Linked DNA regions of Caenorhabditis elegans. The protein of the gene in region 2 purifies or fractionates together with the protein of the main gene of each other region. This does not show direct contact. Each region holds a gene or a part of one and is shown on either strand. Other genes may lie near its edges.

The links.
Region 1: the proteins of fbxb-108 (region 2) and nssp-59 fractionate together in Caenorhabditis elegans (co-fractionation; one large-scale study listed by BioGRID). This does not show direct contact.

What each region holds. Positions count from the first base shown.
Region 1 is NC_003283.11:8,639,902-8,643,382, forward strand, and holds nssp-59 (Protein quiver), read right to left. Parts: upstream 1,466-3,481; 5' UTR 1,444-1,465; coding exon 1,218-1,443; intron 1,168-1,217; coding exon 1,112-1,167; intron 1,058-1,111; coding exon 965-1,057; intron 916-964; coding exon 808-915; 3' UTR 695-807; downstream 1-694. Other genes in the region: acd-4 (DEgenerin Like), read left to right, coding at 9-100, 143-288, 332-496, 544-684; asp-13 (Peptidase A1 domain-containing protein), read right to left, coding at 1,719-1,865, 1,909-2,028, 2,078-2,206, 2,253-2,501, 2,549-2,632, 2,784-2,913, 2,979-3,289.
Region 2 is NC_003280.10:2,762,746-2,766,546, reverse strand, and holds fbxb-108 (F-box domain-containing protein), read right to left. Parts: upstream 1,584-3,801; 5' UTR 1,579-1,583; coding exon 1,499-1,578; intron 1,455-1,498; coding exon 542-1,454; 3' UTR 501-541; downstream 1-500. Other genes in the region: fbxb-106 (F-box domain-containing protein), read right to left, coding at 3,070-3,801.

The DNA.
Region 1 (3,481 bases), on a different chromosome or scaffold from region 2:
ACTTTCAGACAAAATATAGCAATAATAAATATTCATTTTATGGAATTGTTCTACACTTCATACTCTCAAGTTAAAGCAACAACTATTTTGAATACTTTCAGTGAGTTTTTTGATTACTAATGAAACAATTTCTGAATTTTAGATAAAATATTTGGTTTGAACGGTTTGTGGTTTGGAATGTCAGTTGTTTCTTTAACTGAGCTAATTCTATACTTCACGAAAATCTCGTGGATCGCTGTATCAAGTAAGCGAAGGCAATATCTTTTTGAGAAGAAAATGTCGGAAAAGGTAGAATTCTAGAAAATTCTTCCAATTACAAATTTCATTTCAGAGAAAGGAAAGAAATATCGAAGAAGCTGTACAAGAAGCTGAAATATCTAGATCACGAAGAAGCTCAGCTGCAAATTTGAAATTTCTGGATATTGAAAGTTTAGATGATGAAGATTACTGGTACAGAAGCTCGAGCCAACTTTCGGATAGCCATTTGGACAATGTGGTGAATATAAAAAGGCTCAATAGTTAATTAATTTTTATTTTGTTTAGATTCAACTCGCTATTGACTTTGAAAAACCCCTACAACGTCCTTCCGCGATTAGTCTTCCAAGAATATCGGAATGTTGTGAAGATTTTGAAGAAGAGGATGAAGACGAAAATAATGATCTGGGAATTATTATAAAACTATGAAAGATTCATTGATCTCAAATTTTGAATTTATAGTGAAAAGCAGAAACCCAAGCAATTATTCTCAAGCTACATAAATTACTAATTCCCAATATTTTTCAACAAGAAATATTTCTAACATCATTCTCAAATTGATTTGTAGAACCAGAAGAACACAAATACTGTGGTGAAAGTCATTGAAACGGCCGTCGAGGAGTTGCAGAAGTCTTTGTCACAATAGCAATCGAGGCGCTCCTACAAACATAAAGTTTGAAAACTGTGCTGTAAAAATAGCGCAACTTACAGTAGTATATCCAGTTTTCTTGACCTTTTGGTTCAAGTCAAAACATCCGTTTGATGGAGTCTGATTGTTGTCTTCGCGAACGCTAGCGCATCCCTGAAAGTTAGGATCAGTTGCATACTTTTACAAGTTTATAAAAAAATTAGATACCTTTGTGTATGAAGTCCATTTGAAATTGATACTATTGAAGCCAACTCTGTGGATTTCTAAAAAGAGAATGGTACCAGTGATTCGTAAAAAAAAACAACAATCATACTTGCTCTTTTGATACAAAATGTTCCATTGGTACAAACATCGGCACCGGACGTTGCTTTACAATCTCCGTAGTACTTATCAGGGCTGATATTCAGTTCAGTGAACATTTTCTTTGTTAGCTTAGACATGTTTTCCTGACCTCCGCATTGATGGCATTGGAGCGGGTATGTTGGAGTTATAAGAAAAATTAGGAATGCGAAAAAGAAAAAGTAAAAATTAGAAGGCATTTCGAGGAAGTGAATGAGTCAAAAAATCAGAATGAGCCAAGAACTTGAGACGCTCCAAATTTAAAGGAAAACGTTATAGACAAAGACCTCCATGGATACGCGTCAAGTGACTTATTCATGTGTACAAACTACGTTTCCTCCTCTCATTTCGATGGTCCATCATCTTTTCATTTTCCACAAAATACGAAAATAGCAGAAATCACAGGACAAGGAACCACAAAAACAAAAGAAACATCAGAATACGAGAATATGAATGTATGTATTTATGAAAGAGTCTATGCAAGAGATAAACAGAATCCAACACGTTTCTGTCCGATATCATGTACATTACAATATTGTCTCATGAATGGTCCACCGAGAATCCATGAAGGTCCGAAACCAGCATAGTTTTGTGGAATTGCAGCGAAAAGGCAGGAGTTTGTCTGTAAATTATTCACATAATTTTTGATATGTAGCAAAACTTACATCAATCTTCAAAATGTAGTTATTTGCTCGAATAACATAGTTGAATTGGCCAATTTTCATCTTAATTGGCCCCGCGTCGGCATCACAAGGAATGTTAAATACTTGATTTGTTGGGTCCCACTGAAACAATTTGTAATTTTTAACGCAATCACAGAAAGTACATGCTTACAGTAGCTCCTGCAGCTTTAGCCAAGTTGTCAATTGCAGCTTGAGGTCCACATAGAAATGAAGTAGCGGTATCGGTGATTACCTCATATGTGGTTGTGGATACATATGAGCCAAGAGAAAATCCGGTTGCCTAGAAATTCAGAAAAAATACAAAAATCAAAACTCTCCAGAAATACCTGGAACTGAAAATGTCTAGCATTAGTTAGTTCCGCATATCCAATAACTGGCCCACAATGGTTTTTATCCAATCCTCCATAAGTGAATGCACCACTTGCAGAAGTTCCAGGAGCACCTCTCTGACCAAACCATGTAGTGAAAAGTGGCTGATCAAGTAGTCCTTGATTGATAGCGTTGATGATTGGAGGGGTAATGTTGTCAACAGCTAATGCAGTAAATGCAAGACCAAAGATTCCCTCTTTTGGGCTCTGCAAATGCAAAATAGTGAAAGTGAAGGAACTTGAAAAAAACGAACCCATTTGAAATCTGATCCGACAGTGTCTGCAACACCAAGGTATGATCTTGGAATAGCGAGTTGTGCTTCTCCTGATCCACCGATCTGAAAATTCCATTTTATCCTAGATGACTCCAAGAAAAGTTATTCACAGTACCAGACACGAATTTACTCCTAATTAAATTTTTGTTAATACTTTTTTACAATTTATTTATGCATTTAAATATGTAAAATTTCAGAATTTCCATCAAATAACCTTAACAGTGTCAATTCCCAATGTCCCGTAGGCATCACCGCTAGCATATTTGATCTGCCATGGGCGGTTGGTTGCAATATATGTGGATGAAGCTTTTTCATTAAATAATCTCTTTTTCTCACAGTACGTTCTGTAAAAAACTTTCGAAAAATTGTGATCACAAACGTTATTCAATTTCAAAACAGGAATACTAACGTGCAATTAGTTCCTGGAATTAAGAGATTGGCTGATCCGGTATCTAATACAACAATAAAGTTTTGATCAGGAGTTCCAACAGTAATATTTCCCATGTACTCATAGTACACATAATCTGTTGTGCTTTGAACCACAGTAGCCAGGTTAGATGATCTACTAGCAACCATACGGTCGCGGTACTCCAAATAGGCAGGATATTCTCCATTTCTGATCATTTCAATCATTCTAGATTCTTTCCATATTAATTGATGTTCGAGGACTGCAGCCGTCGAAGACCCAATAAGAAGGAAAATAATGGAAATAATACCCATTTTCTGAAAAATAAAAATAAATTGAAACACTGAATGAAAAAATAATTATTCTCCGCTGAAATGGGAAAGAAAACTAAATAGGGTTATCGGCGAAACATTCTAACTAATTGAATTCACTGATAACATTGCAACATCAGATTATGAACTCTGATACTGTGTTTCAGAATATTTATTTGAATTGAGTCTGATAAA
Region 2 (3,801 bases):
TGACGACTGCTGAAATAGTCCGAGTCCCCCACCCCCGAAACATAATTACAGATGGACCACATTGATGACAAAGACTCGCCTGGCCTCTAATATACCCGTCAGGGGTGTGCGGTAAATTTGCCAAATTTGTCGTTTGCCGAGCTCGGCAAATTTGCCGATATTGCCGAGTACGGCCAATTTCAAAAAAATGTGCCGCACCCATCAAAAATTTAACAATACAATTTTGACCAACAGTATTGATTTTGTCCCCAAAAATTCAATGAAATGACACAAAATTGAGTTCTTTCGATGTTAAAGCAGACACACTACACGGAACTTATTCGGAAATATGATGTGTCTTAAGAATTCAATAGTTTTGGTGCTCCAAAAGACGGCAAAAAATATCACATTTTTGGGGGTTGGTAAGAACGGCAAATTTTGATATTCGGTGCACACCCCTGGTCCCCGTGATCCATTGGTTTTCGGATGATGACTGGCCCGCTGACTCGGAACAGAACAAGAAAAACGTTTTTATTTAACAATTATTTCAAACAATATCATTTCATACAATAGCAATCTCAATTGACCCATCATGTTGAGTCCACTTCCAGGTTAAAGAAATTCTTCTTTCATCGTCTTGATTTATCATGCAACAATCTCCACTTTGATAATTGTCGTCTTGAGACACAAGTTTGCTATTTCGATAGCGTGAATGAGGGATACCGTTCATCAAAACTTTCACGTCGTCCCAAGCTGGTCCTTGAGGAATTTTCAGAAACTGAGCACCTATCAGTGTTTGATTCAATCCAGTCTTCAGATGTTTGAGGAATATATTCAAATCTTCGAACGCCAATTGAGAACTTCTAATTCTTAGGTGGGTGCTGTTCATGATTAAAAGATCGTTCAAATTAAAATTATGCTCCGGAAAGCTTGCAGAAAATGAAAAAAAGTTTCGAACAAGTATTTCATGATTCAGCGAGGACGAATTCGAAATGAGCTTCTTGTTGAATGATATACCTTTGTGTTGAATACTACATATCACGTTTTGCACAATTTCGTCTGTCCAATTTTTGAGAAAAATTTTTCTTGCCGTCAGTCCTTTCATTGCTTCGCATACACGTTTCAAGTTCTGTATGCCCATTACGCCATTTATATGAACTTCGAATATTTTTGAATGATTGAATATTTCCATAATATGATCAATACAATCACGCAGTCCAAATCCTTTTATCTCCCTTACACTTTCCGTTCCGAAGAAATTTGTGTCGAATTCGGTGGCGATTATAGAACCGCAAGATTGCACGTTCCACAGGTCAAAGTTGTACTTGTAAAAACTCAAATAAGTCATTACACTGTTGGATGAGAATATATGTATTTTAAGTGGGTGGTCGACAGTAATATTGATTTTCCGAATTTTATGCCTGAGAGGCGTCACGCAAGACTTTGTTGCTTTGGAGCATAACGAGAAGGTTAATCTGAAAATTGTAATGCCAACGGGTATAAATATTAGAAAACATACTGATTGTAAAATGACAGATTTTCAACAACATTCCTAATTATCTTGTTAGGGAGGCGAAGAATCGGGAAACTGGTAGCCATGGCTGCAAGAGACACAAATGAGCACAAAAAAGGTGCTGTAGGCAGATGTTGTTTCGATCGATAGTTATAAGGCGTACTCGTAGTAGACAATGACAAGTGCTAAAAGATCCCGAGACCCAAGGACCACATTGATGACCAAGACTCGTCTAACCCCCTAGTATTCCTGTCATCCGCTGGTTTTGTGATGAGTGGCCCTTGACTCAAAATAGACCAATAAAAACCTCTTTTTTTTTAAACAATTAAACTCATACAACACCCATCACAATTAGAGCCAATGGCGACTCTTCAGGAGAAGCCCGCTTTGCCTGTGTGAACTGAAACAAGAACTGAATGAATTTCTCTGTAAAAAACCCTTTTTGGTTCTGAGGTTATACCAGCTACCTGTAAAGCACAATTTTTATATCCATAGCTTTACATGTATCCAATATCCAAATTGAAGAAAATAACGGTTTTATTCAAAAAGAGGTTAGCTCGTATCTGGGGCATGGTACAACAGCCTATTGATCATAACAATATAAGAAAATTAATTAGAATTAGTAAGCTCATACAAAAAAAATAGAAACAACACCACTACCATTTCTAAGCAGCCCCCAGCTCACAGCAATTTGCTTCCCATCGCTTCGCGTAATCATGCACAAGTCGCCACTTTTAAAGTTGCCGTCTCGAGGTACAAATGCTCCTTTATCCGAACACATTAAATGTTGGACACCTTTCATTATTAGCGCCATGTCCCAAGTTGGTCTTTCATTAATTTGCAGAAACTGAGCAGATGTCAGTGTTTGATTTGATCCATTTAACAAACTTTTGATGAAAATGTTCAAGTCTTTGGAAAACCAGTTGCAATTGATCAAGTGTAGAGTTGAACTGTTTATGATCAATACATCGTTTAACTGGAATCTCTGTGCCGGGGGAGAATCGGGAGGTGAGGTCGAATTGAAGTTGCGAGCAAGTATTTAATGACTCTCTTTTGCAGATTCCCAGTTGAGCTTCTCGTTGAGTGAAATATTATTGTATTGAATATTACCGAGTGCAGTTGTTACAATACTGTTTGACCACGACGAAAAATCAATTTTCTCAGCTGCCAGTCTTTTCATCGCTTCGCATACTTTTTTGCAGTTTTCCAGGCCCACGGCGCCATGAATATCTACATTGGAAATTTTGCTATAATTGAATAGGGCTTAGGCTTAGGCTTAGGCTTAGCCTCAGACTTTGGCTTAAGCATAGGCTTGGGCTTAGGCTTAGGATTAAGCGTAAGTTTAGGCTTAGGCTTAGGCTTATGGTTAATCTTAGTCTTGGGCTTAGGCTTAGGCTTGGCGGGGAGGAAGAGAGAAAAAAGAATTCCAGAAAATTCAAGAATTCAGGGAAAAAAACCAAAAATTAGACACTCTCACGTCTAACAAAAAATCATGAAAAAATATCCGAAAATTGCCCAAAAAAAGCACCAGATTAAAAAAATGAGAGTTGGATCAATAAACAATTTATTCAAAAACATTATCTACCAAGAATTACAATATGACAACTTTCTTCAACAAACGTCCAGACCAGACCAAGGCTTTTTCCATTGTTCCGCGTCGCCAGAAAATAATTCTCATTTTCCCAATCACCTCCTCGAATCACGTGTTCAAACTGCGGCGAGTACACAATAAAAGGAACATCCTTCATGGCAATCTTCTTGTTCCAAGGTGTGCCGCCAATTTGGATTAATTGAATATTTTCCAGCATTTGATGGGATCCATTGATCAAATGTTTGATGTAAATATTCAAGTCTTTGGAAGAAATTTGACAGCTGATGAGTTTCGGTAACGAGCTGTTTATGATGAGTAGATCATTCAAAGTGAGCTGGAATCCAGGACTAATAGATGCAAACGAGGCCGATTTGAAATTCTGAAGAAGTACTTCATGGGCAGGCATAGGGGCATTCCGGCTAGGTTCAGAAACAAACAATGCATCATTGCATTGAATATTAGTAACAATCTTTTCCTCAAGACTTCTCGAGCATGCGGCCAATCTGATTGTCTTCACTCTGAACTCCTTTATGACTTTGGAAGCATTTATGCAATTCCCTTCATTCATTGTTCTATAAACTGAAACTGTGTGAATCCTCGAGCACTTGAATACCTCCAAAACGTGCTCCACCCAATCTCGAAACCGAAATCCAGTCATTTCCCAAACGACTTCAGTTTCGGCAGCGATTGCTGTAGTGCAAGATTGCAGGTTCCATTG